Astyanax mexicanus: one gene and its partners. The protein of the gene in region 2 interacts with the protein of the main gene of each other region in a biochemical or structural test. Links are inferred from orthologs where the notes say so. Each region holds a gene or a part of one and is shown on either strand. Other genes may lie near its edges.

What was found.
Region 1: the proteins of disks large homolog 4 (region 2) and rps6ka1 interact in a test that uses a peptide from one of them, tested with the Homo sapiens proteins (2 studies listed by BioGRID and IntAct). The link is inferred for Astyanax mexicanus from reciprocal best matches to the Homo sapiens genes DLG4 and RPS6KA1.
Region 3: the proteins of disks large homolog 4 (region 2) and net1 interact in a biophysical measurement, tested with the Homo sapiens proteins (2 studies listed by IntAct, with this or other methods). The link is inferred for Astyanax mexicanus from reciprocal best matches to the Homo sapiens genes DLG4 and NET1.

What each region holds. Positions count from the first base shown.
Region 1 is NC_064421.1:34,848,525-34,858,562, forward strand, and holds the start of rps6ka1 (ribosomal protein S6 kinase alpha-1), read right to left. Parts: upstream 4,305-10,038; 5' UTR 4,118-4,304; coding exon 3,902-4,117; intron 281-3,901; coding exon 164-280; intron 1-163. UniProt on the Homo sapiens protein: Serine/threonine-protein kinase that acts downstream of ERK (MAPK1/ERK2 and MAPK3/ERK1) signaling and mediates mitogenic and stress-induced activation of the transcription factors CREB1, ETV1/ER81 and NR4A1/NUR77, regulates translation through RPS6 and EIF4B phosphorylation, and mediates cellular proliferation, survival, and differentiation by modulating mTOR signaling and repressing pro-apoptotic function of BAD and DAPK1.
Region 2 is NC_064408.1:2,142,794-2,152,918, forward strand, and holds the start of disks large homolog 4, read left to right. Parts: upstream 1-5,709; 5' UTR 5,710-5,793; coding exon 5,794-6,036; intron 6,037-10,125. UniProt on the Homo sapiens protein: Postsynaptic scaffolding protein that plays a critical role in synaptogenesis and synaptic plasticity by providing a platform for the postsynaptic clustering of crucial synaptic proteins.
Region 3 is NC_064409.1:8,467,848-8,478,379, reverse strand, and holds the start of net1 (neuroepithelial cell-transforming gene 1 protein), read right to left. Parts: upstream 4,305-10,532; 5' UTR 4,188-4,304; coding exon 4,051-4,187; intron 1-4,050. UniProt on the Homo sapiens protein: Acts as a guanine nucleotide exchange factor (GEF) for RhoA GTPase. May be involved in activation of the SAPK/JNK pathway Stimulates genotoxic stress-induced RHOB activity in breast cancer cells leading to their cell death.

The DNA of each region.
Region 1 (10,038 bases), on a different chromosome or scaffold from region 2:
GCACCATGGCTGATGACTGCATCGAGATTTTAAGAGGATGGCCATGGGGATGGGTTTTGCATATTAAGCATTAGGAGGTTATAATTAAAACTGTTTAGAGAATGTTTAGTATAATATAGAAATGTGTGTGTGTGTGTGTGTGTGTGTGTGTGTGTTTTCATACCTTGCCGAAAGACCCCTGGCCCAACACCTTGAGCAACTCGAACTGGGATGGGTCTGCTTTCTCCGCCCCCTCTTTAACCACATGTGTGATGTTAATCTCTTTGATGACATCATCATCCTGCAAAAGGACACATTTTTGGTTAGGTTTTATAAAGGAAGCTTTATTTTAATAACTCAACATTATTTTGGAAACAAATAAAAATTTAATAAAACCTAGACACAGGATTTAAAATAAAACAATAAGGAACAAAGTAAATTACAATATCAAAAGTCAAGGACATAATAGGGATAAACATAAAAATTAAGAGAACAGTAAGAGAGAGGCCAGAATTTTAAACAGAATAAACTCCAAAATAAAAATGAAAGGACAGTTTAAAGCCCAAATTTAAAATGTAAAATATAATAAAGTCCTTATCTCTAGTTTCCCCCCAAAAAAAACAAACAAAAAAAACCCTACTGCATCACTTCATGGCTTCATTGTGTCCAGATTAACATCACAATTTCCATGATCTAATTCATGGAACCAGCATCATAGGTTCTTATTCACATTAACAGCATATCAGCCTGGAAACCCCCATTATCACCAGTCAGATTATCAGCTGCAGTCTGCGGTTTGGAGCTGTGTGACACCAGAAGCACCTCCCGCTTCTTAAGACCAGACCAAAAGCATGCAAGAAGAGAATAGTGACAGTGTTTGTTAGCAATATTAGCCTAGCATCTCCCATTGTGGACCAAATAAGTCTGGTCAACTGGTATTAGATTGTTTAACCTGTTCCTTTAGGTGAAATGAAGCACAGGTGCTTGGTGGGAAATGGGAGTATAAAATATAAACATGTGCATATTTAGGGCTTTTTTTACACCTGAACGTGTGGACCAGTATGCGAATCACAGTCTGTATGCATCGTTTACATTAGGTCCAGATAGTTTTGATTTCACACTGCAGTTCAGCAACAAACTGAAGAACTGCGCGCTGTGTTCAGTTATCTTCACCTGTGTGTGCTGACACTGATTGGTTTGTAGAAGGGCATGTTGTGTTAACAATGTAATAAGTTGTCTTTCCAGTTATTGTGCTAAATTCTGCCTCGCTACAAAAATCCTCTGAGTGCATGTGCATCATTCAGCAGAGAATTCCGCTGGATAGTCTTTATTAATACACCCATTAGAGCTCTGAGAAACATATAATATAATATAACAAATAACATATAATAAATGAGATCAGATGCGGTGACACACACACACACACACACACACACACACAGGAACCAGCAGAGGAACTCCACCTCGCAGCACAGTTACGGGAAACGAGCCTACTTCACCATTTAAACCACAGTGTCAAATAACTCAAAATAATCTCGCTGTACAGAGGGATTTAAATACACACTACTTTACTATCACCAGCACAGGCTGTCTATCAGAACCCCGGCTCTACAGCTACGATTACTGGCCACTTTATTTCAAATGCCAGCCTTACATTTACCCTTATTGGCCACTGACTTGGAAACCCAGCATTACAGTTGCCCTTAATAGCCACTGGAATACCCAGCTTTACAGATGCACTTACTGGACAAATTAACTGTAAATCTTGCACCACACTGTATTGAAAACCCCAGCCTTACTGGTACATTTCAAACAAGTCAAACAAGACCAATTTAAATATCTTAACACAATAAGGGTTGGGCAATATCACTTTTTTTTTGTGAAAACATTACTGTGGTATATGCTATTATATGGGACAGGAATTTGCAGGAACTGCTTAAAGTCCTATGTTTACATGGCTGCAAAATAATTAAATGTTGGGTTATTTTTTTAACAGAAAATTTATTAAATACAACATTCAGGCTGTTTACTTATAAACGTTTAGACAAAAAATAACAGGACAACAGGACAGTTATCTAAATAAATAGTGACAGGCTAACCGCTAATAGGCTAACTGCTAACATGCTAGCCCCTTACAGGCTTGCTGCTAACACCTTTGCCCCAGGCTAACTACTAACAGGCTAGCTTACGCTACTGTCTGTGCAACAGTTTTCCAGATAAATAAGGCAAATGAGGAAGTCACACATATTTTGAATCTTGAATATATATGATAAAGCTTTAAACCGTCACACATTCGAGTGAGACTTTTAAGGGATATCTTGCAGACTCCTGTATGCAGGTTTAGTTTACCTTTGCAAATCTCTGAGACAACTTTTTGTATCCTTCCCCTGAACAACTATGTTGAACAATCTTTGTTTTTAGATCATTTGATGTTTTGTTTTGATGAGCCCATGATGCCACTCTTCAGAGGAGATTCAAATAGGAGAACAACTTGCAATTGGCCACCTTAAATACCTTTTCTCATGATTGGATACACCTGGCTATGAAGTTCAAAGCTCAATGAGGTTACCAAACCAATTTTGTGCTTCAGTAAGTCAGTAAAAAGTAGTTAGGAGTATTCAAATCAATAAAATGATAAGGGTGCCCATACTTTTGCACCGGTCAAATTTTGGTTTAATGCATATTGCACATTTTCTGTTAGTACAATAAAACTCATTTCAATCCTGAAATATTACTGTGTCCATCAGTTATTAGATATATCAAACTGAAATGGCTGTTGCAAACACCCAAATATTTAGAACTAAGATTAATAGGGGTGCCCAAACTTTTTCATATGACTGTATAAATTATTCCAGGGCTTACTCCATATGAAGCCTCAGCTTGGTTTTGCAGAGCACCAGCTTGAAGTTGTTCCTAACGCATAGACACCTTCTGACCACTGCCGCAGGGCCAATTTCTTACAGGTTCTGCCAATCAGGTGCCAGTCAGGCAGAAATGGCACCAGAAACTTAAAAAAAGTGTTTTTACAGGAAAAAACACAAAACTTTGTGCTATGTTTAGTTTGACCAAAAAAAAAAAGTGAGTCCTACCAAGGTTTGTTCCTCCAGCTCTGAGGATTTTTTTTTAACACTATTACCTCGACTTGGTCACCTGCGTTGTTTTGTGTTATGTTTTGTTGATTTTTTTCATATTATTGCATTATTGGTTAATATTGCTAATGAGTTTGACTGCACTGAACCTTTACTTGCCACTTACCGCTACCCATATACAAACACAGGCAGCCATAGAGAAAACAGAGTGAGAGCAGCCAAGTCACGCCAAACAAAGTGTGTTTTCCTTCTAATTGTGCTGATATCACATTAAAATTAACCACCTCCACTTAGTTACACTTTGAGTCGAGTGTTTGACACCTTTTAAAAGACGTAAACACCCACAGATCACATCCTCATCACATCTCAGTACTGCTCCTCCTCTCACATCGAAACTAACAGCTGCCCTGACCCAGTCCTAATCACACAACACTACAGGCTGAACCCATCTAAGACCAGGTATCAGAACCAGTCCAATACCAGCAAGACACCACTAAACTATTAGACCAGTGTAAGACAATATTTTTAAATATAGTCATTGATCTTTTTTTATTACAGTAACAGTGTACAAAACTTCCTCTACCATGTTTGGAAGGTGCGAGTTTTTTTTTTCTACGCTGACATGCCAAAAGTAATGGGACAGCAGGTGTTGCCTCACATAAAATTAATTTCTACCATCTATACCATAAGGTTCTTCTTTTTAATCTTTATTAAACCAGGTTGTTTATGGAACCAAATTGGTTCTTCTATGGCATCCCTTAAAGAAGCACTAACTCTTAAGAGAGTGTAGACTTATGTAATAGTGTCTGTGTGCGTGCATGTTGTGTACTGACCATCCACTGCCTCTGTTCGCATGTTGAAGCGGTGCTGGATGCAGTTAATGATGCGGTGGCAGCTGTGCTGCTATTGGCCTCCACCAGTGGACAGAAGTTAGAGCCATTAGGGTCGTTAGCGCCGTTAGTCAGCGCTTTCCGCTGTTGTCTTTTAAACAGGTAGAGTGTGAGCACCTGCCTCAGCTTAAACTTCCCTCTCTCTTTCTCTCTCTCCATCTCTTCATCTCTCCACCAGTCCGGGGTTCCCACAGTCACCTCCTCTATCTGCCTCCTGCTATGGTTAATCTGACGGACCTCGGCATCTCTCTCTCACAACACTAACTGACTACCGCTCGCCCAGCTTCACACAACTCACACTACAACTCGTACTGCTGCAGCGCGAGAGCGAGTGTGAGAGCCTGAACGAGGGATGTGAAATGTAGTTAGACAGGAAGGAAGAGGTTGAAGGGGAGGGAGAGAGAGAGATAGAGAAACTTACTGAACTGAAAGAAACATACAGGAGATGGAGAAAGAAAGAAAGTAAGAGAAAATGCTAAAAAATAAGCTAGATATGTAGAGACAGAGAGAGAGAAAGAAAGAGAGAGAGAGAAAGAGAGAGAGAAAGAGAGAGAGAGAGAGAGATGATGGTGATTGACAGAGAAAAAAGAAATAGGCCAGAGTTAGTGATGGTAGAGAAAGTGAGATAGAGATGAAGGGGAAGGGTAAAGTGGTAGAGAGGGTAAAGACAAAGGTAGAGAGAGTGAGGGTGATTGTAAAAGAGAGTATTAACGTTTGTGGTTGACCGTTGACCGATGGAGGTTTTCACTCTTTTCAGTCATTTAAGGTTACATTTAATCTGCCATCTTCTACCTATTTTGTGTATTTGCATATAAGATCAGCACTCAAAGCATATATGGGCCCAAGGGGCTCTCAAATAGCAACTCATCCAATGGTGAAATAGATACAACCTCATTTACCTTTAAGAGGATGTGTTGCTAGGATTTATCACAAGCCTCTACAAACCCCCTTTCTATTACCACCTTAGGTTAAAATTCAAATGTACTATTACTGCCATAAATGTAACACCTTTGCTTCTCGTATGTTCTGGGTATGTCCTGTAATTATACAATTTTGGAGATATGTGAACACAGTGTTGTCTGATATTCTTAAAACAGAATACAATTGGGATCCATGCTTTTGTCTCCTGAATGATAACTCCAACTTGGAGTTGAAGATGATACAGTGCAAGCTATTGTTCTCTGGATTTACTGCTGCTAAAGAGACAATTCTACAAAACTGGATTACACCTGGCCTTTACATGGAATCATTTTGGGTGTTTAATCTACTGAATATAGCAAAACTTGAATGTACCATAACTCGACTTCACCATGCTAAGCCCTGTTAAAACATGACAGACTTTTGTGCTGAATATTTTGGATTTTCTTGGAAAGTATGCTTTGAATACGGACACTTTCTCCTATTTATCTCTATCTGTGAAGATTGTGCCCATAGATATTTGTCACTCATGCTCCTTTTTATTTTGCATTCACTCTTTCTGCCCGTCTGCTGCTCCCCATACAAATCCTTAATCACAAAAAAGAAAAAGAGTAAGATGTAAAAAAGAAAGAGAATAAAGATAGAAAGAACAAATAATTACACATAGTAATGAAGAGAGAGAGTGAGAGAGAGAGTGAGAGAGAGAGAAAGTGAGATGATGGTGATTGAAGTAGAAAAAAGAAAAAGACTGAGGAGTTATGGTAGAGAAAGTGAGAAAGAGATGGAGGAGAAGGGTAAAGTGATAAAGAGGGTAAAGACAGAGGTAGAGACAGTGAGGGTGATTGTAAAAGAAAGAGAGAAAAAGAGTAAGGTGAGAAAGAGAGAGAGAAAGTGAGAGAGAGAGAGAGAGAGAGAGAGAGAGAGAGAGAGAGAGAGAGAGAGAGAGAGAGAGAGAGAGAGAGATTAAAAGTTTAGGGTAGAGTGAACAAGAGAAAGTGAGACTTAATGCTACAGCAGTGCTGTACACTAGAGGGCACCATTTCTCTGTGTATAATAATTAGAGGCTGTGTTACAATTCAACCAGTTCCCTTAAAAGGGTTTTCACAGAATGCTCCCCCCAAAAAATATACAAAAAAACCCAGTTTTTGTTATTGCAGTCCGGAAGCAGGAGTTGTATCACTATGTAGAAGTATAGACACACTTAAAATCCTTTTATTTTCCCAAAAATCGTGAGTGCATCTTATAGACCGTTTCAGAGGAATATTCATGAGCGTAGGAAGTGACGTAGCTGTTCCTAGGACACTTCCGTTTAGCCGTAAAGAGCGTTCAAAACAGTGGACGTAACTTTAACATAATTTAACATGAATGCAAACTTCACCTAATCTGAGAGTCATAAACATTGAAAATCAGGTCAAATTGTTCTTTAAACAAGTAAACTATGGAGGACCAAAAATGACATAAGTATAAATAAACACACATAGAAATGTATAAATATATAAATACATAAATGAATAAATAAATTAATGTTGAAATTAATAAATATATATGTAAATGCACATATAAATGAATAAATAAAAAAATATATGAATAAATAAATAAATACATGCACAAATAATTGTATAGGTAAATAAATTAATAAATACATTTCTTATTTATATATTTATTTATTCATTTATATGTGCATTTATTTATGTCAACATTTATTTATTTATTCATTTATTTATTTAAACATTTATTTATTTATACTTCTGTCATTTTTGGTCCTCCATAGTAAACACGCCTGCTTTCATTTTTCACACTGCGAACCTGCCATGCAGTTACAGTGTCCGCTCACAACTTCTCCCTCTTTCTTATCAATAAATAATGCAGAGTACGTGTTGGACAGCGTTTGACTTGCTCCACCTCACCATACACTATAGTGATGCTTCTCTACTATAGGAACTCATATTCCCAACTTCCACTGAGAAAGTAATTATATGCGCTCAAACTGCGGTACGCTTTCACTGCGTTTCAACAAGATAGTGATCACATCTGGGTAGGTCACATCTGGCAAGCGTTTTAAATCAGACAGCTGTCAGTGTTGGGCACGTTACTTTGAAAAAGTAATTAGTTATAGTTACTAGTTACTTCTCCAAAAAAGTAACTGAGTTACTAACGGAGTTACTCCACTATAAAAGTAACTAGTTACCAGTAAAAGTAACTATTGCGTTACTTTCCCAGTAAAAAAATGAACAAAAGAAAATTAATTATGTAATTACTATTATTATTAGAAAAATAGCAAACGAAAATAAACCCAAAAATGTTGACAAAAATATAATCTAACAAATTAAAAAAAGATAAGAAACGAAATACTCCACATGACCAAAGAAAATTACTAAGACTTGCAATACTGAAAAAAAAAAAAACGGAAAAACCAAATAGCATCTGGGGATAAAAATTAAACAAACCAAACCACACTCTAAAACCACTCCGCTGAAATTCAGTGTTAAACAGAATTTTCAGTTTAGTTGCCCAGCATTAGAATTAGCATCAGCTACTAACCGCCCTAAGTGCTAGCTTGTTGGCCGACCAGAGGTGAGTGTTACTGGCCTGTAGCTTGCTGCTAACCCACGCTAGCACTGCAGAAGCAGAATTAACATTATCCACTTACCACAGCATTAGATTAAAGGTGAGTATATCTGACTGTAAACTGCATGTTTACAGTGTTAAAACAAGCTACGTGGGACGATAGCTAATATCGCACTTACCGGAACACTCAGGGTTCTGTCGGGCGGCATTAGCAGCTAATCACTAGCGGTTAGCGGCTAATGCTAATGCTCCAGTCCTTAGTGCTGTAAAAATGTGGATATCTAAGCTTACTGTAAATAAGCACAAGCTTTACTAACACAAATAAACAGTTTTCAGGAAATTAACATCCAGCACGGACTTATGACTGAATTTTTTTTATTATTATATATTTTTTTTTAGAATAGTTTTGTTTACTTAGCTTAGCTTTACAGGTCTCACCACGCAGCAGACAGACCTGTTGAATTTAAAGGTAAACATGGCGACACCCTTATTCCTTACTAGTGTCACAAAATGTGCCTTATTATCCAGTGCGGTTTATGTATGAAAATAGATATTTATTGATAGTGCGCCTCATAATCTGGTACGCCTTATAGTGTGAAAATTTGGTAGTATCTTCAAAAAGCGTGTAGCAGCAGGTTAGTAGCTGAAATTCGTAGCTCAGTTACAGCAGAAAAGACAGAGTCTAAGCTGAAAGCTCCAGGTGAGTTCTTACCTGTCGAATGTTGGAGAAGTCTTTCTCCACCCACGTGATCTCTGACTGCTTCTGTTCAATGTAGGAGGAGAATGATTATGACTATGTATTAGTTAGTATCCACTATGACTGATTTATATTATATACTACAAATTATTTAGTGATTACAGTATCCAGTGCAAATCATTTGGCATCCACTGATAATGTATTCATTATTTACAATGAATAATTTAGAAACAAATATGAATCATTCAGTATCCACTATGAATTAAATATGCTAAAGTTTTATCAGTATGTATTATGAATTTTAAAATATCAACATTACTATTAATATTAATATATTAATATTACTATTAATATTAATATAACTATTAATATCACTATGGATTATGTAGTGTCTTTTATTTACAAGTTCCTGTCTTAACTCCTACAGCTAAAAAATATGAAGTCACTATGATGCCACAAACACACACGCACGCATACACACACACAACTCACCATTACTGCATAACTTTGTTTCCCACTTTTCAAAGCTCATAAACAGCTACTCGTTCTACTAAAACAATCACCAACTACCCTTAAACACACACACACACACACACACACACACACACACACATAGAGACACGAGCACACACACGCACAGTCCAGCCTAATCATGTAAAAATGACTCAAGTGAAATTTCCTCTGTTCCTTCTGCTATTTCAACACAGCAGCTTCAGATCAACAACGACATGCACTCTCCGCTCTTACACCATCGAGTTTAGCTCCAGAGGGGGGGAGAGGACTCAGTCACAGATACTCTTACTGCACTACTTTAGTAGTATATCAGAATCCAGTGCTTGCCAGAATTGTACAATTACTAGGCCTGGACCAAAACTTGATTATCACTAATCATTTTCATTTAATTGTTAAAAGTCTGGGCCTTAACTTAGTTTCGAATGCTACCAAACCTTGTTCATGACTTTGAAAACTATAAGGACTAACCATCGACTTAACCTCAAATACTACAAAACATGCCTTGACTCGGATTAATCAAATACAATGTCTCTGCCTTTACCAAGACTTAAACTTGACTCTGGACACGACTACCATATTTTTCGCACTATAATAGAAGGTGCACTTAAAAATTGTCAGTGCGCCTTTTAATCCAGTGCCTCTAATGTGTGAATTCTACCAGGCAGGTTGTAAGGAGCAGTAAAGACACCAAATTGAGGGTTATTCAGGAGTTTCAGTTTAATGTTTCAGGCATTGGAGTAGCATTAGCATTAGCTGCTAACCACTATTTCACCGTTCAGAGGGAGTATTATTGGCCTGTAGCCATCTGTGTAGATTAACATCAAGCATTCGTTTGACTTTAAAAGAAAGTCTTTTTTCTATTACAGTTTTGTTTACTTAGCTTAGCTTTCCTTAACCTAGTTACCCCCCCACCATCACCCAGTGGCAAGACCTACTTAATTACAAGTTCTTTATAGAGCCTTATAATCTGGTGTACCTTGTGTATGAAAATAGACCAGGAAATAGACATTCATTGATAGTGCACCTTATAGAGCAAAAAATATGATATAATAAAGACTGGAACCAACCACTACACAGGCTACTGTGATAAAAGACTCTGACAAAAAGTACAAAGTAAAACGTGCAAACCAATGTCCAGGATTTCACAAACACTCAGCCTTGATTTGCCCAGACATGACCGCTTTAAAGTTTCAGTCTTAAGTCAGATTCTTAGACTACTACTAGAAAATGGCTTGAAAAAAAGGTCTCTTCCTTAACTCAGATTCAACTGCTACAAAGTATTTGCCTTAACTCAGACTCAACTGCTACAAGGTCTCTGCCTTAACTCAGACTCAACTGCTCAAGTCTCTGCCTTAACTCAGACTCAACTGCTCAAGTCTCTGCC
Region 2 (10,125 bases):
ATAATAGGGGTTGAGGATTGATAAATTCATAGTGATACTGGGGATTGATTGAGGTGTGATACACTTGTAGTGATACTGAGGATTGATTAATACTCTTCTATTGATATTAAATTAGTAATAATAGGGATTGATTGAGGGCACTTGTAGTGATACTGGGGATTGACTGAGGATTGATACACTTGTAGTGATATTGTAGTGAGAATTGATTAAAACTCTTTTATTGCTATTCAATTAGTAATACCCGGTATTGATTAAGGATTGATTGAACATTAAATCAGAACTGATAATGCCAGCAGATGTTTCCAGATGTGTAAGATGCCCACACTGTGCCACCCTGAAGTTACTCGGGTATACACTCGTCATCAGTTACAGTCTGAACTTACTGTTTGAGTGTGTGTGTGTGTGTGTGTTAGAGTGTGTGTGTGTGTGTGTGTGTGTGTGTGTGTGTGTGTGTGATTTGTTTGTTTTTTTACTTTTTATCTTCGCGTTCCTCTTACGGGTGATGCGAGTTGCTTAGCAACCGAGCCAATGGGGGCCTGATTGTTGCCATGACGATGTGGCAGGGTATCATGGAGGAAACAGAGATGGAAGGAGAAATGAAAGAGAGAGAGAGATGAAGGGATGGATGAAAGGATTCAGAAGTAGGTGCAGGTATAGAGAGAGATGGATGGAGAGATGGAGGCTATAAAACATGTTTTATGGATGAAAGCAGACAGGAAGTTTTACTAATATAAAACTGTGACAGCTGTCATTACATCATAGCAGCACAGACTAACACAGCATAAAGTAACAGCTGCTGTTACATCATAGCGGCATAGAGTAACACAGCTGCTGTTACATCATAGCAGCATATAGTTACGCAGCTGTTGTTACATCATAGCAGCACAGACTAACACAGCTGCTGTTGCATCATAGCAGCATAGCGTAACACAGCTACAGTTACATCATAGCAGCATAGAGTAACACAGCTACTGTTACATCATAGCAGCACAGAGTAACACAGCTGCTGTTGCATCATAGCAGCATAGCGTAACACAGCTACAGTTACATCATAGCAGCATAGAGTAACACAGCTACTGTTACATCATAGCAGCATAGAGTAACACAGCTACTGTTACATCATAGCAGCACAGAATAACACAGCTGCTGTTACCTCATAGCAGCATAGAGTAACACAGCTACTGTTACATCATAGCAGAAGAGAGTAACACAGCTGCTGTTACATCATAGCAGCATAGAGTAACACAGCTGCTGTTACATCATAGCGGCATAGAGTAACACAGCTGCTGTTACATGATAGCAGCATAGATTTACACAGCTGCTGATACATCATGGCAGCATAGAATAACACAGCTGCTGTTACATCATAGCGGTATAGAGTAACAAAGCTGCTGATACATCATAGCAGCATAGAGAACCACAGCTGCTGTTACATCATAGCGGTATAGAGTAACACAGCTGCTGATACATCATAGCAGCATAGAGAACCACAGCTGCTGTTACATCATAGCGGTATAGAGTAACACAGCTGCTGTTACATCATAGCGGCATAGAGTAACACAGCTGCTGTTACACCATAACAGCATAGAGTAACTCAGCTGCTGTTAAATTATAGCAGCATAGAGTAACACAGCTGCTGTTACATCATAGCAGCATAGAGTAACACAGCTGCTGTTACATCATAGCGGCATAGAGTAACAGCTGCTGTTACATCATAGCAGCATAGAGTAACACAGCTGCTGTTACATCATAGCAGCATAGAGTAACACAGCTGCTGTTACATCATAGCAGCATATAGTAACGCAGCTGTTGATACATCATAGCGGCATAGAGTGCCACAGCTGCTGTTACATCATAGCAGTATAGAGTAACAGCTGCTGTTACAGTATAGCAGTATAGAGTAACACAGCTGCTGTTACATCATAGCGGTATATAGTAACACAGCTACTGTTACATCATAGCGGCATAGAGTAACACAGCTGCTGTTACATTATAGCAGTATAGAGTAACACAGCTGCTGTTACATCATAGTGGTATAGAGTAACACAGCTGCTGTTACATCATAGCAGCATAGAGTAACACAGCTGCTGCTACATCATAGCGGCATAGAGTAACACAGCTACTGTTACATCATAGCAGCATAGAGTAACACAGCTACTGTTACATCATAGCAGCATAGAGTAACACAGCTACTGTTACATCATAGCAGCATGAGGTAACACAGCTATTGTTACATCATACAGTATAGAGTAACACAGCTGATGTTACATGATAGCAGCATAAATTTACACAGCTGCTGATACATCATAGCAGCATAGAATAACACAGCTGCTGTTACATCATAGCGGTATAGAGTAACACAGCTTCTGATACATCATAGCAGCATAGAATAACACAGCTGCTGTGACATCATAGCGGCATAGAGTAACACAGCTGCTGTTACATTATAACAGCATAGAGTAACACAGCTGCTGTTAAATTATAGCAGCATAGAGTAACACAGCTGCTGTTACAGCATAGCAGCATAGAGTAACACAGCTGCTGTTACATCATAGCGGCATAGAGTAACAGCTGTTGTTACATCATAGCAGCATAAAGTAACAGCTGCTGTTACATCATAGCGGCATAGAGTAACACAGCTGCTGTTACATCATAGCAGCATATAGTAACACAGCTGCTGTTACATCATAGCGGCATAGAGTAACACAGCTACTGTTACATCATAGCAGCATAGAGTAACACAGCTACTGTTACATCATAGCAGCATAGAGTAACACAGCTACTGTTACATCATAGCAGCATGAGGTAACACAGCTATTGTTACATCATACAGCATAGAGTAACACAGCTGCTGTTACATCATAGCAGCATAGAGTAACACAGCTGCTGTTACATCAAAGCGGCATAGAGTAAAACAGCTGCTGTTACATCATAACAGCATAGAATAACACAGCTGCTGTTAAATTATAGCATCATAGAGTAACACAGCTGCTGTTACATCATAGCAGTATATAGTAACGCAGCTGTTGTTACATCATAGCGGCATAGAGTGCCACAGCTGCTGTTACATCATAGCAGTATAGAGTAACACAGCTGCTGTTACATTATAGCAGCAAAGAGTAACACAGCTGCTGTTACATCATAGCGGTATAGAGTAACACAGCTGCTGTTACATTATAGCAGTATAGAGTAACACAGCTGCTGTTACATTATAGCAGTATAGAGTAACACAGCTGCTGTTACATCAAGTGGCATAGAGTAACACAGCTACTGTTACATCATAGCGGTATAGAGTAACAAAGTTGTTACACCATAGCAGTGTAAAGTTACACACACATGTTGTTACATCATAGCAGTGTAAGGTTACACACCTGTTGTTACATCATAGCAGTGTAAGGTTACACACCTGTTGTTACATCATAGCAGTGTATGGTTACACATCTGTTGTTATCATAGCAATGTAAGGTTACACACATGTTGTTACATTATGGCAGTGTAAGGTTATACACTTGTTATTACATCATAGCAGTGTAAGGTTACACACCTGTTATTACATCATAGCAGTGTAAGGTTACACACTTGTTGTTACATCATAGCAATAAAAGGTTACACACCTGCTGTTACATCATAGCAATGTAGGGTTACAAACCTGTTGTTATATCATAGCAATAAAAGGTTACTCACCTGTTATTACATCATGTCAGTGTAAGGTTACACACTTGTTACATCATAATGCTACTGTCCTAGCTTACTGTTATTTAACAATATATTTGTAGCATTATTTTCAGTATGTTCCATGTATTTACTCTACAGCAGGATGATGTAACAATAGTAGTTATGACATCATACTGGTATGACTCAGTTATGTCACACTAGTACAGCATGCATTCTGTACTGGTTTAGATCTGCATGTTTATTCTGGTAATTGGGTTTAAATTGTTTACTGATGTTGTTTTAATAGTGTCGAGTCTGTTTACTGAGATACTCACTAATTATCACCCCTACCAACACACACACACACACACACTACACACACACACACACACACACACACACACACACTACACACACACACAACACACACACACACTCACACATTTTAACATTAAATACTGTTTACAGAATCCATTCATCAATTTAGTAGAGAAAATAAAATTATCTCTCTCTCTCTTTCTATTTCTATTTCTTTATCTCTCTCTCTTTCTATCTCTCTATCTTTTTCTATCTCTCTATCTTTCTAATTCTCTTCCTCTTCCTCCTGAGCTCTGATTGGATGAAAGAGACACGGTCACAGAGTATGAATATGAATTCAAATACAGAGAGAGAGAGAGAGAGAGAGAGAAAGAAAGAGATAGAGAGACAGAGAGACAGAGAGGGAGGGAGATAGAGAGAGATAGAGAGAGGGAGAGAGGGAGAGGTGGGGTGAGTGTGTGGGTATAAACAGCTATGCGAGCGTGAAGAAAATAACAAAAAAAAGAAAATCGTAAATTTCCGAAAATAGCACAGGCAAAGACCTCTCTCTCTCTCTCTCTCTCTCTCTCTCTCTCTCTCTCTCTCTCTTTCTCTCTACATCTCTCTCTATCACATTCATTTCCTCTTATTCTATCTCTCTCTTTCTCTCTCTCGCTCTCTCTCTCTCTTTCTCTCTACATCTCTGTCTATCACATTCATTTCCTCTTATTCTTTCTCTCTCTTTTCTCTATTTTTTCATCTCTCCATTCTTGATTTTTTTTACTCTTTTTTCTCTCTCTATCACATTAATTTCTATATCTCTCATCCTTTCATTTTCTCTCTGTTTCTTACTGTCTCTCTATCTCTTTATATATTATATCTACTTTTTTCTTTCCTCACTCTCAGTTTTCAATCTCTTTCTCTTCTCCTTTTTCTCATTCTCTCTTCTTTCTCTTTTTTCTCATTATTTTTTTTACTCTTTTTTCATTCCTCTTTCTGTCTCTCGTTTCTTTCTCAGTTTCACTCTATCCTTTTCTCTTTTGCTATTTCTCTTACTTTTTTCTCGTTCATTTCCTTTCTCTCTCTTATTCCAACTTCTTTCCTCATTATTTCTATCTCTCTCTATCCCTTTCCTCTTTTCCAGCATTCTCTCTCTCCATGAACGTTTTATCTCTCCCTTGTTTCTCTATCTATCTCTCTCTACACTTTTACTGTCTCACTGCTCTCTCTCTCGACTTTCTCTTTCTCTTTTTTCTCTAATTCTCACTTTTCTTATCTATTTTTCTTTTTCTCTCCATTTTTCACATTCCTTATATTTTCTTTTCATTTATTTTCATTTTCTCTCTCCCTTTTTACTATTTTTTATTCTCTCACTTTGCCAATTCTCTTTTATTGTCATTCTCTCTATATATATTTATATCTCTCTTCCTATCCTGTTTCTACCTCTACTTGTCCATGCTCTCTCCACTTCTTTCTTTCTTTCTTTCTTTCTTTCTTTCTTTCTTTCTTTCTTTCTCTCTCTATCTCTCTCTCTCTCTCTTTCATAAACATATTCTGTGACTCACTCATCGTTTCCTCTGCCAGGATTTTCTCTCTGCTCTCATTAGTGCCTTCCCCATCTATCCCTCTATCACTCTCTCTCTCTCTATCTCTCTCTCTATCCATTTTCTTCTTCTCTCGCTGTTTCTCTCTTTCTCTATCTCTCTACCTTTCTCCCTATTCTTCTTGCTCTGTCTCTCTTTATCTATCTCTCTCTACCTTTTCTCTCTCTTCCTCTAAACTATCCTTACATCTCTCCATCAATCTTTACCCTCTTTCTCTCTCTTTCTCTCTCTTTAGTTTATGACGCCCCCTCCTCTCTCTGTCTCTCTCTCTTCCCCATTTCTTTTTTTATTTCATTTTCCCCCTCAGTACAGTCCCCCCCTCCCTCCTTTCTCTCTCCCAGCCTCTCTCTCTTTCTCTCTCTGTCCTCATCCCTCTCTCCTCTCCTCCTCCTCTCTCTCTCTCTCTCGCTCGGCCGCTGTGTGTGTGCGTGTGTATCTGATGAAGGGTCGTACTAAACTGCCTTCACTCTGCTCCTGCGTGGTACGTATCCGCCTTTCTTCCGCGGGGATCTCCATCCATCCATCCGTCTATGCCTCCATCCCTCTATACCTACATCCCTCTATTCCTCCATCCCTCCATCCCTCTCTCTTTCTCTCTCTCTGTCTCTCTGTGCTGCAGGTTTTTGGGTTGTTTACGGCAGAGGTTCAGACGTGCTGTTGGCGTTGTGTGGGAATGCAGACAGTGTGTGTCTGAGTGTGAGTGTAAGTGTGTAAGTGTGTGTGTATAGTGTGTGTGTCTGTGTGTGTGTGTGTGTGTGATGCACAGTCACGTTTTCACTATTTTTTTTATGACGGGGTATGAAAACATCTGCAGTGTGCATCGTCACTGTGTGTGTGTGTGTGTGTGTGTTTGTGTGAGTGTGTGTGTGTTTGTGTGAGTGTGTGTGTGTGTGTGTGTGAGTGTGTGTGTGTGTGTTGGTATTAGTATAATTGGGTAACTTTGTAAACCTGTTGAATATGCATAAGTGTAGGAACAGGTGTGTGTGTGTGTGTGTGTTTGAGAGAGATACATGTATTGCATGTCTTAGAGTAAATTAGCTGAGTGAGCAGAGAGAGCGAGAGAGAGAGAGAGAAAGAGAGAGAGAGAGAGAAAGAGAGAGAGAGAGAGAGAGAGAGAGAGAGAGAGAAATATAATGCAATGGAAATTGCCATATATCAAATTGGTCAGTAGGCATCCAAACCAGACTACCTATCTAACCAGCCTTTATCTCTCTCTCTGTCTCTCTCTCTCTCTGTCTCACTCTCTCTCTCTCTCTCTGTCTCTGTCTCACTCTCTCTCTCTCTCTCTCTCTCTCTGTCTGGGTGTTTGTGATGAAGCAGCATCACTAATGTGCGTATATAATATTCATTATCTCTCTGATTACTGCAGAACACTGTTCACAACACACACAGAGACAGAGAGACACAGAGAGAGAGACAGAGAGACAGGTGCAGGTAAGGACAGACAAACTGAAAAGAAAAGATGGACAGAGAGACAGATGTATAAAGAAACAAACAGATATAGACAATCTTGACAGATGTATGAAATAAAGGAGATAAGGACAGAAATATGGAGGAGCAGGTGGACAAAGGGACAGACAGAGACAAGGAGAAATGGAGAGACAGAGAGAGAATGTAAGAGACATATGTAGAAAGGGAAAGAGACATGGAAAAAGAGACATATGGAGAAAGGAACAGAGAGATGAGAAAAGAGACATATTGGAAAAAGGAGACATATTGCAACATGGAGAAAAAGACAGAGACGTGGAAAAGAGACAGACAACATAAAAAAGGATGTAACAGACAAAAGAAAAGGATAGAAAGAGAGACAAAACTGATTAAGAAATGGACAGACCGATAGAGAAAGGAAATAGGGACCGATAGCTGGAGAATGGAAACGACAAAATGAGAAAGAAACAAACTGACAGAAAGATGGAGAATGAGACAGACTGAGAGACAGACAGGTGGAGATAAGACATACAGAGAGATAAACGATTGGAGAATAAGTAGGATATAGGGATAGATGGAATGACAGACAGATAAAAAGACAGATGGAGAAAGGGACAGACAGATAGAGACAGACAACTGTAAAGAGGGACATGTATATGGAGAATCTAAAATACTAAATGAGAAAAAAAAACTTACAGAAAAGTGGAGAGAGAGACAGATGGAGAAATGTACATACAAAGAGAGACAGCTGGAGAAAGAGACAGATGGAAATAGAGACATATAGCTGCAGAATGGAAAATACAAAATGAAAAAGAAACTAACTGTCAGACAGATGGAGAATGAGACAGATTGAGAGACATACAGATGGTGATAAGACAGACAGAGGGATAGACGTTTGGAGAAAGATAGGAAATAGGGACAGGTGGGATAGAGGGATAGATGAGGTGTCAGACAGATAAAAACGCAGATGGTTGCTGAAAGGGCTAGATAAGGAGAGAGAGACAGATAAAGAAATGGACAGACAGATGTAGAAAGACAACTGGAAAGGGACAGATAGCTGGAGAGTGGAAAATACAAAATGAGAAATAAACAAACTGTCAGAAAGACAGATGGGTGCCCAAAGGGCTAGAAAATAGAGACAGACAGATAGAGAGAGAGACAGATGGAAAAAGAGACAGATAGCTGCAGAATATAAAAGACACTGTTAGAAGGAAACAAAGTGTCAGACAGATGGAGAAAAAGACAGACTGAGAGACAGACAGATGCTGATTAGACAGACAGAGAGATAGATGATTGGAGAAAAACAGACAGATAAGGAATAGGGACAGGTGGGACAAATAGAAAGATGGAGTGGCAGACATAAAATGACAGATGTTTGACGAAAGGGCTGGACAGAGAGATGGACAAATGGAAAAAGAGACAGATAGCTGGAGAATGAAAAAGACAAAATGAGAAAGAAACAAACTGTCAGACAAATGGAGAATGACAGTGGTGATAAGACAGACAGAGGGATAGACGATTAGAGAAAGACAGGCAGATAGGGATAGAGGGATAGATGAAGTGGCAGAGAGAGAGACAGACCAATGGACAATGGACAGACATAGAGAGACAGATGGGAAAAAGGGACAGATAGCTGTAAAATGGAAAAGACAAAATGAGAAAGAAACAAACTGTCAGACAGATGTAGAATGAAACAGACTGAAAGACAGATGGATGGTGATAAAAGAGACAGAGAATAAACGACTGGAAAAAGATACAGACAGATAGGGAATAGGGATAGAGGGATAGATGGAGTGGTAGGCAGATAAAAAGACAGATAGAGAGACAGATCGAGAAATGGACAAAACATAGCTGGAGAATAGAAAAGACAAAATGAAAAAGAAACAAATGGTCAGACAGATGGAGAACGAGACAGACTGAAATATGGTAATAAGACAGACAGAGGGACAGATGATTGGAGAAAGACAGACAGATAGATAGACAGCGTGGCAGACAGATAAAAAGACAGATGGTTGCAGAAAGGGCTGGATAGAAAGAAAGGGATGGAGAAATGGAAAGACAGATAGACACAGAAAGACAGACAGGTAGAGAAAAAGTCAGATAGGAGTAGACAGTTGAAGAAACAGACAAAAAGAGAGAGAGAGAAAAATGAAGAGAGGGACAGATAAACAGATAGAGAGACACAAACAGAGGGGACAGATAGACCGATAGATAAATGGAGAGAGGGACAGATAGACAGATGGAGAGACAGACAGAAAATGCAGTTTACAGCAGTAGTAATTTAAACAGGTACAGAATGAATGGAAGTGAATGGAGTTAGTCTATTAGTCTAATCTATACTAGAGTTATTACTATACTTATCTATTTACCTTTATTTTATAATATTAGTTCTAATGTTATATATTTTTATTGTGTAATAAAGCATAAAATATATATTTATACATTTGATCTGATATATTTCTGTAAATATACACATACTGGGTATATACTGTGTGTGTGTGTGTGTGTGTGTGTGCAGATAATATCACTGAAAAAATGATGATGATGATAATAGTAATGATAGTGATAATAGTGATGATAGTGATAATAGTGATGATAGTGATGATAATAGTGATGATAGTGATAATAGTGATAATAGTGATGATAGTGATGATAGAGATAATAGTGACGATAGTGATAATAGTGATGATAGTGATAATAGTGATGATAGTGATGATAGAGATAATAGTGATGATAGTGATAATAGTGATGATAGTGATAATAGTGATGATAGTGATGATAATAGTGATGATAGTGATAATAGTGATAATAGTGATGATAGTGATGATAGTGATAATAGTGATAATAGTGATAATAGTGATGATAGTGATGATAGTGATAATAGTGATGCTTATGATGATAGTGATAATAGTGATGATAGTGATAATAGTGATGATAGTGATAATAGTGATGATAGTGATAATAATGATGATAGTGATGATAGTGATAATAGTGATGATAGTGATGATAGTGATAATAGTGATGATTATGATGATAGTGATAATAGTGATGATGATGGTGATGATAGTGATGATAGTGATAATAGTGATGATAGTGATGATAATAGTGATGATAGTGATAATAGTGATGATAGTGATGATAG
Region 3 (10,532 bases), on a different chromosome or scaffold from region 2:
CATTCCAGCTCAGTGTTGAGGGGCTTTACACCCCTCAAGCAGAGTTAAATTAGGGCTATGTTTTTGGGCAGAAACTGGCAATAAGATAGTATCAGGATACACATTTTACGATATATCGCAGTACTGTAAGTATTGTGATATACAGAGATTTTTAAAAGCAAAAATCATATTTATAAAACTGTGAGTAAAACGTAAGACTAACTCTGTATACACACAGAACAGTTGGATCTAAAGACTGATTTTAAACACTGCCATCAAACCCAGACAGGGGTTTAACTTCTTAACTCTAGGGTAATAATTTTTGTAATTAATTATTTGGAAGCTAATCAATTTACTACACTTTACTAAACAGTGTTTAAGGGGTTAAACAACACAAAATCAAATCACACTCTTCTCCCTATTTTTGCAAGTAAACCATTGAAAATTAACACTATTTTTGAGAATCTATACAGTATTGCTAAATGTATTATCACAATCCTACAATATATCAATATTCCACCTCTAAACAAACCTGTTGAAGGCAACATAGCTCTTCTGAGACACATTATTAGATTCCACTTAGCTGAGCTACCCCTTTCTCTCTCTTAAAATATGCCCATCCATCTAACACTGTAGGATTAAGATTTTGTTAACACCTGGTCACTTAAATGTGACCTGTGTCTGGATTGTATCTGATAAGATTTTACCAACTGCACTTACACTTTGTAGTTAATTGTGTTTCCGGTTGCAATAACATGTCTTACAAGGCATTTATAATCCATGCCTGGTATTAGGCATGGTGAAAATAAATGGATGTATATCTGCTTCAAAAGAGTCATATTCTATTGGCAGTACTTCTATACTGGAAAACAATATTGTATGTTTATTTCCAGATCTGTGTCAGCAATCCGGGAACCTTAAAGTACCGGTAGCTGAGAGTACACAAACCCCTTCAATCTAACAATTGATATTTATGTGAAATGTAATAATGACTAAGGATAACTGAGACTATCCCTAAATGACTAACGATAGCTAACAAAATGACCGAATAGCCTTTTCTTGTGTGCGCAAGAGCATAGTTAAAACACAAGTAGCTTCTGCTGATATCATAGACATACTAGTGGGGTAGATTACACAATACCACCATAAGGGTGTGTAGAGAGCACGTCTTGTTATGAGTGATTCCAAAGAACCTGCCATCCAGACACACACATTACAGCGGGGAAATCATTAGGAGAGCATGGAGGTGCCTTGCTGAAAAATTTACACCTTTCTAGTAATTTGAAATCAAAACTTCAGTACTGCATCCTATGTCAAATCTACACTGGAAATAACTCATTGTTTAAGAGAATGATTATTCTTCACATAATTAATGTTAAGTAAGGTAGAGAGCATGTATTCTTATAAGTGTTATACATTTTCATGCAAAATGAATCCTTATTGCAGCTAATATTCAGAGATATTGACCAGTCAACAGAGTAGGGCTGCAACTAATTATTATTTTGATAGTCGACTAATCTGATGATTATTTTTTCGATCAGTCAATGATTATTTCTGCCATGTCCCCATCTCTAAAAACGGTAGGGAGAACAGTAGAACAAGAGATTTAAAAGGCATTTAATGTCTAAATGTTGTGGAAAGTACTAATATTTAGTTATTAAATATGTAATCTGTTGTGTTTGGGCACTTTTGGAGACACAGAATAAGTGTGTAATAAGAGTGTAAACTGTGTGAGTGAGCCTTTTACCCATCTCCCATACAAATTAACAATTAGTCGACAAATTTACATAATCGACATTGTCGATCATATTGACTAACCATTGCAGCCCTACAACACAGGCATGGGATAAATCTTACCTAAAAGTAAGGGACATTTAGGGCTTTCAATTAGGGCTGCATGATATTGGAAAAAAAACATTTCTTGAAAAATATTTTGTTGTTCTATGATATACATTGCAATATAAAAAAATGAAATAGTAAATTTGTACATATATTTAATCCAATAGTAGATATTTTGCCTACATTGGATATGTCACCGTCACAGCCTTTATCTGCTCATTCATGCATCATTAAATCAAAGAAATGTATAGTTAGAACTCAAGAGGTCTGGTGAGCTAAATGAGAGCACAAAAGAATTCATGTTAAAAATCACAAGAATTATCCACTCTGACTGCACCACAATACACGTATACAAGTATTTTTTAGCATGCTCAATTCAATTACACAATCTTACACAATCTATTTGGATGCTTAAACCGTTCTAGCTCTTTACCACTGTACTGATTTAGCTGCCTACATCCCAGTTAGGTACAGATCTTTGAACCAGGTGTAACCGGTGCTGTGAGTGATGGCCCAGGCTCAAAATTCGGTCTGACCAAAAGGAAAAAAAATGTTGGTATCAGTTCAAAACAAGCAAACCAGTGTTCATTTTAAATGGTTCTATACATCACCAAAAATCATAATCAATACACATTTATAACCTCTTTTTCAGTTTTATCTGGAACTTTAACTGTTCAGACTGTAGCTCTGCTGACATTTGGGAAGTCAAAGGTTGTGTGGGGATTGGCAGGAGGTACTGAAAGCACCCAACCAACACGAAAGAGGAAACCAGCAGCTTTGCCAATGTAAACTCTTCCCTACTTATCTTAGAACTTAAGAGAACAGCTTTTCTTCATGCTATTCCTGCTCTTTCACAGGACTTACTGGAGAAATCTGGCTAAAAAGAGAAGTTACCATGTTTGGATAAGTTTTGGACATGAACTCTTGCCATATTGCCATATTACAGAGAGCATCATTACATTTGTTTCAGAAAGATTAGAGAAACATAGCAAATTCTCACTAACCATATTTCCTTTAATCAAGCTGCACTCTTTCTGTAATTTGGGAAATATTTATAAGCAAGACGGTTATGTCAGTGTGTTATCTTTACAGACAGGACCAACTTACAGCTGCCTCTGAAGCACAGGCTCATTAATGATGTATTCTAATCAGTGTGAATTGAGCTCCACCGTGTGGGGGAACAGAAGAACTACAGAACATGAAAATATCAGTATTTAAAATGAAAATCCTGTATGACTTGCAAAATGTACAGTGTTTCCGTTACAAGCACAAACTTACTTTAACATTCTAATGGCTGGTTAAGTAGCAGAGTTTAATGAGCAGATTCTTACGCTGCACTAGCTTGTAAACAAGTATGTAAAAGTGTAATCAATCACATTACAGTGTTGAGGGAATATTTACTGCTGATCACAAACAGAATATCTAACTTCCGCAATTGCATATTTACGCAATTGCACATTTACAAAAAACAGTAGTAATAGTAGTAGTAGTTTTATTACAAAAATAAAAAATGCAGTATCTTAGTGCAAATCATTAAGTGAATAAAACTGGTGATGTTGTTATAGTGGCACCTTTCATGCAGTAAGCACAGGACTTTAAGGATCTGCTGCTAACAAATTGGTGCCATATATCATGGGACAGGTTTAGAGCTCATTTAGAGGCTATGCTAAAACATAACGTTTTCTCGGCACAAGAGGTAACGTAAATACACAATACTGGGCAGGTGTTTCTAATGTTATGTCTAATCAATGTGTATACACTAACAGCTAGTGTTTTTTAAATGTAGATAATGAAGTAGCGAACTACAAAAAGTTACCATCTAACCCAACACTATATCTAGCTACCTGCTGGATAGTTTATTATTGTTAGTTAGTTAGATAGCTAACTAATTAATTGTCTCAACCAAGCTTATAAGGAAGGAAAGTCTAAATTTGTGTGCGAGAGAACAGCGAGGCCTAGACATAAACAGGCTACGGCTAGTAAGTTAGCTAGCTAAGCTAGTTAGCCAAGTTGCTAAAACAGCTGTCGAATATGGTTGATTTATGTACCAGTTAGCCAGCAGCTAAGTTACTTAGATAGCCTAGCTCATGTGTTAGCTAGTTAGCGAGCTAACTTCAAAACACAGCTAGCTACGTAACTAGAATTCTGCACATAAAGAATAAAGAAGTCATATTTTGTTAGTTAACTAAGAGGAGCCTGCTGGCTGAGCGGCTGGCTGCCCTGTCCCCTCACCGTCTCCGGTCGCTGCTCCCGGGGGACTCGGGCTCCGCGTCCGCCACAACAGACTTTCTCCGCAGACTCGCTTTCCTCTTCGGCCTCTTATTTGCAGCAGCGGGCGGCGCAGTCTGTGGCTCATCTATGTCCTCCATTGAAAATAACAGACCTAAAAATGCGGTGCGCTGTAAACAAAGCCGGAGCTGAAATGTAAACTAACCGAATTATTATAAACGGATATGGGAGTAATATTAGTGAATGAAAGCGGGGGGAAGGGAATGTATTCAAACGGACACCGAAAAGGTTTGAATATGGCGGAACCTTGAATTCTGACCAATAGGGAAGAAGATAGGGCCAGGGTTGCTACGATACGGGCTGGAATGGGCGGAGTCACGCGGGCGTCTTCTCTGTCTGCAGAGCAGCGGATTTAAAGCAGCAGTTTCAGACCAACGGTACTCTGCGCATGCGTTAACACTTGCTTCGTTTTTGTTATGCTACCTTCAAGCTGTGTCGAAAATATTTTTATATCTCGTATTTACAAGATAAGAGCACATGAACGCCACCACAAACTCGTATTTACCAGTGGGAAACACATATTTTTAGACCAGGCCGGAGTTTCCCAGTTGGGGGCGTGTCAGTAACAAGAGATAAATAAATTAATTACATTTATTTAAATTAATAAATACATTAAATAAATTGATGCAGACAGTTCGTAATGTAAACCGCTTAACACTTGCAGTTTGTTATAAGCTAACTAATAAAATCACTAGCAATACATGAAAAATAAGTGTAAAAGTCTAATATTATTTACGGTTCTAATGGGATAAAAAAAATCACTCAACTAATGCGAGTCATATTCGTCTTATGTAAGTACGAATTTTCGATGATGACTTGAAGGCAGCATATTCTGGTGAACACTTTAATAGTTTTAGGAGGTATTACGATCATTTAGGACAAAAAAAACGTTCTTTTAATGCAGGCTAATTATCACACATATTAGGCTTATGTGTCCTGACTTATCTCTCAATTACCCTTGAATTTAACTACTTACACTTACTTATACATCTACATACCAGAATTAATTATTCACCTCTAATATGCAATACATATGATGTATAATGTATAACTTTGCTGCAATATTTTATATTTACTATGGTTTCCATGCCAATATTTATGATGTCCTCTTCTGTCTTATACTGCTTGTCTATTTATTTTACTATTTATTGTAAATTTATGGACACTTATATTCTTTTTCCGAGCTGTGACTTCAAATGTCCTAAATGTGTGAGTTATAAAGGTTATGACTTAATCATAGATGTGTTTTGGGTGTAATGTGAAACAAACCAATCACCGTTTCACTTGCCAGAGGCAGGTGTGCTCTGACTTTGGCACGTTGGTATCTTAACAGTGCAGTGCTTTGCGCATCTCAGCAGAGGATTACTGGCCTGCACATTCATGCTTTGAAGGTGCGCCCACAGGTAATTTCCAGGAACAGCAATGTTATTTTATTTCGTTTTATGTTTATTGTTGATATAAAAGCTGGATTGGCTTCAGAGAGGCAGATGTAGAAACTAGCAGCAGTCAGATTCATCCAGAGGTGTTTTTAAGGGAAAGAGGGATCATTAAAATGTGTGATAAATAGCAAGTATGGTGTATGAGTGTGAGAACAGAGCTAATACTGTGAGTTCTTCTGCTGGGTAAGAGAAAGAGTTGGCAAATAAACCCCACAGCTTCTCCAGCTTCTCATGCCTGGTTAAGAAGGATAAAGTGAAGAGTCCCAGAGGATGTGATCATGCATATTGGGCCAAACATCCTCTTTAACCATTTATCAGATCTCTGTTAATTTGTTCTGAGCAAGGCATCACATTCCACACAGTGTTTTCAGTCAATCAGACCATGCCTAGAGTAATATTCACACACGCCACTCTTTCTTCTCCAGCCCTTATGGGTAATTACAGTGGTTTTGTAATATAACCTAACTGATGTTCTTTAGCTTCAGAATCCCAAGCCACCTGCCACCTGCCCAACCAGTTAACCTCTCTGCTCAGCGCATCTCACATTCAGCTGCTTTCGGCTTTCAGCTCATTTGGCAGGCAGCTTGATTCTGTTAAACGCCCACGTGAGCTGGAGCCCAGCGCAAACAGACTATTCAGTGTCTGAATGTTCATCAGCACAACAAAGGCTCGCATAAAACAAATATTCTCAGCCACAATTACAATAGACAGACACCACTCCAACAGGCTTCATGTTCTCCACCCACTACAGTTTATTAGTCACAGCCACACTGTAGAGGTATTGTTGTAAAGTGAGCCCAGAATTGAAGAATCAGCTGTACAATCAATCAGTCAATCAATCAACCTTTATTTTCCCATCTGGCACCAACATCAATAGAAGTTAATTTCAGGTTGAATGTCATGACATCAGACACAACATTTTTTTTTACGTAAGGATAACCTCTAATACTTCTATGTGCCTGCAGGGTTGACTTGAAGTACATTAAGGGCAACCCTAATTTTTAATGTAGTCAAGTTTTTGTATTAACATGACAAAAAAAAGGATTTATTTATTTTAAAATAACAATAAATCAAATATAGAAATTTGTTTTAATTGAAAAGAAATTAAGACCAAAAGAAGATAAGATTAATACAAGAAAAAACAGCTAAAACTAATTTTTACATAGTATAATAAAAATATTAATAATAAAAGAAACACAAAAAGTGGAAAAAGAAAAAATGGTGTAAACCATTATAATATATTAAAATTATGTTGAGGCTTTTATAACTGTGCTTTAAAATCATAAATTTGCTGGACTTGAACAGTCCATTTTGGCATCTTTACATACACCCTATGGGCAGTAATATTGAAAAAAAAACAGTCTAAGTTTATACTGTTTTTGTAACTACATTTAGCAAAAAAAAATAACTTTATAAATATAACTTCAGAAATCTGATTATATTTAGATAATTGAAGGCATGTAAACACCCACATTATATATAAAGTTACACAAAATATTGCCCTAACAAACATTTCTGTAGATTTAAATGTCACGGTCATGCACACCTGCTGCCCAGGCCACTGGTGTCCTTCAGTAGATGAGCTCTTTGCTGGAGTGGATGTTTAGAAGATGTTAAGCTGTGCTAATGACTGGCAGTAGGCTTGTTCTGAAGAGGCATTGTATAATTATGCATTAATGCAGTGCTGATTAGCATCATCATTTTTATGTGTTAATTAGGTCTCAATTCATTTAAATGAATAAGGTCGTTTTGAATCCCAACACAATAAATATATGCTTTATAACAAAATGTTTTCTGATGAATTTAATAATGTCTGACTTTGAGTAGTGAAATGATTTAGCTGCTTTTGATTACAGTGGCAGTAGGAGCAGAACATGTGTGCATATGTATATAGAAATATGTAGTGTAAGGACAGGTAGTTACATTATAAATAGCAGGCATGTGTTCAATTATGAGGCTTCAACAGCATGATATAACATAATTTAAACTACTCTGCAAAAAATTATTAAATACAATAAAAATAATAATGTTTTATTAAACAGAGCAGTGTTTAAGGTCTTTATAAACACAGCGAACAGTCAGACTTTATGAGGTGAGTATTTCATAATGTCGCAGCTCCACAGATGGGCTTTTGAATGGAGCTGTTTGAACAGTAACACGGACAGAACAACTTGTATGTTCAGTTTTTTTCTATCAAGCAAATCTTAAGTCGTGACGATCCATGTTAGTTCTTAAAGAGGGCCAGAATTAGCTGTTATTGTTTTTTAGAACCATGCTTCTCCATGCTTCTTCTAGATCTGACTAAATTGTCATTTTTAATAATTAATTTTACAGGGTAGTTATACAATATATTAAATTTTACTATTATATTCATTAGAAATTCCTTGACTGTTTGTATGTCCACACTTAATGTGCTAATGTAAGTTTCAAAGTTTGATGTAAAAATATGATTTCCTTACAGCGGTGGTAATAAAAACCAGGGGTTATTATGTCTCCAATGCAACTGATTTACTATTAGGAGTTTTATTTATTATGTACAATGAGCCTTTAATGTTTAAATGCCTCTAATGTACCACTTTACCATATATGTGTTTTAAATGTGTATGAGGGCAAAGCTTTATTGATGATTTAGTGTATTATCTTTCTTTTGAGTTCTTATAACACATCACACACACACACACACACACACACACACACACGAACAGTTATGACTCAGTATTTGTCTAGAATGACACATTTCCCATCAAACCATTCAGAATGACTAGATTTAGTTTTTTTTTTCACATTTTTAGTCACTGGACTTTCCCTTTTAAAACATTGTTTAATATACACATCATTGTTTTTGGCCGTCATAACTTTTCAATGTATTTGCAATAACTAGACCATAAATATTTTTTTTCCCTTTATCTTTTGTTTCTGCATACCAGGATTTCACAACACCCAAGAGTCTATTATCTATTACAAAAATACTCATATATAAATGAATGGTATGTATTTTTACAGACAGCAGAGGGCGCCATTGCTTCATTTCATCTAGTTTATAGCAACATTGAAAAGAGGTACTTTACTAATTGAATTTAAAAATCACATAATACTCTAAATACGAAGCAGTATTTTAGTTTTTTTATTCTTTTTTTTCTAGGTTTAAACTTAATCTGGCTTTTGTGAACAACAGCACTTTGAAAAAGGTAATCTGATTACTGATAACTCCTTTTAAAATGTAACTTAATTACTTGATTTTGAAGTTACTTTCAGCAGCTGCTGACAACACCCCACCCCGTCTTTCTCGTACATCCTTTCAACATGTCCATCCGGACGCTACAATATCATTTTACTAAGAAAAGAAAACACTCAGTGACTTTGATAAGCAATTTTAATCTAATTACTGGAAGTAATGAATTCCAGTTACTGAATTACTGAAAAAATGGTCAGATTAGTAACACAAAACAAAGGGTTTGTTCAAATGAGCTGAATTTCATTCCAATAAAAAGAAAATAATTTAGATTCTTAGATTAGACAGATTCTTCACCTTTGCCTTCATTAAAGAAACATTTTGGTGTGCTTAAAACATTTTTGTGTGCAGTGCTGTTGTGTGTCCAGGAGCCAGCCTAATTAAGCTACAGAAACCAATGGCTCCCAGTCTCGTTCCTGAAGATGTACTCCCCCTGCATTCTCCAAATTTACTACAGACCCTAATTTAACACATCTGTTCCCCTAATTGACAAGACTAGCAATGTGTGAACAGTAAGTGTGAAGGAAAATGGGTTTAAAATAAGTTATGGTTGAAACTGAACTTTTTAGGGCAAATCTTTCAAAGAAAGGTTGGGGGTAGACTTGCTACAGTTTCTGTCCCAGATTCAGATTTTACAGAAATCCAGGTCCAGAGCCCTGGGGAGCAAGCAGTCGATGACAGTGGAAAATCTCCCCAAGAACACAAGGACAAAACAATTAGGAAGAACCTAAAGTTGTAAGATAACTCATCATCCACTGGGATGCTTCAGAGGTTAGGGGTTCATGTATGAATTCTGCAGCTTTGGAGCTAACTGGAAATCACAGCATATTTTGTAGCATCCCACTGGGCTCTGTTTTAGGGCCTATATAAATGTTTAATTTGACAGTAATTAATAAGAGGGTGATTATATACAGGGTCCAAAGGGTAATTAAACAAGAAGGCTGTCACCACCAGTGTAGATCCTCCCTCGTTTATAATCCGTCGTCACAGGAAGCCATCTATGTAATGCTGCAGACCGGAGCCCCAGTGGGCGTGGCTAAACGGCGGAGCATGTGTCAATCATTTTCGACTGCAGCCAATCAGATACTACACTTTCGTTGTCAATCACTTTTTATTAAGCCAATCCTCAGACAGACCAAGCTGTCCATCATTTTTTACTGCAGCCAATCACCTTAACAGATCTGTCAAAAGAAGGCGGAAACTGCTTTGCTACCGGTTGAACGTAGCGCGATTTAAGCTTCTGAACAGCGGTGAAGCTGAATGAATGAACTTTATTTATTTTTAAATCAAAGATTAAAATACTCGTTTTTCTGGAATGGCACTTTCGTGTTTTTTAATCGTGTATATGTATGTGTGTGTGTGTGTGTTTGTGTATATATATATATATATATATATATATATATATATATATACACACACACACACACATACACGATTTTATGCAATTACTGCAATGAAGGAAAAAAAAACACGGAAGTGCCATTCCAGAAAAACGAGTATTTTAATCTTTGATTTAAAAATATCTAAAGTCAGGGCTTTTCTAACGTTTTCAATCAGTTACTTCTGTTTAAGAGCGGCATATAGGCAGGACTAACTACAGTAGCACATAAATGTTTTTAAACTGTTAATATAGTATTTTGTAAAATATTATACACATTCAGCTTCATCGCTGTTCAGAAGCTTAAATCGCGCTACGTTCAACCGGTAGCAATGCAGTTTCTGCCTTCTTTTGACAGATCTGTTAAGGTGATTGG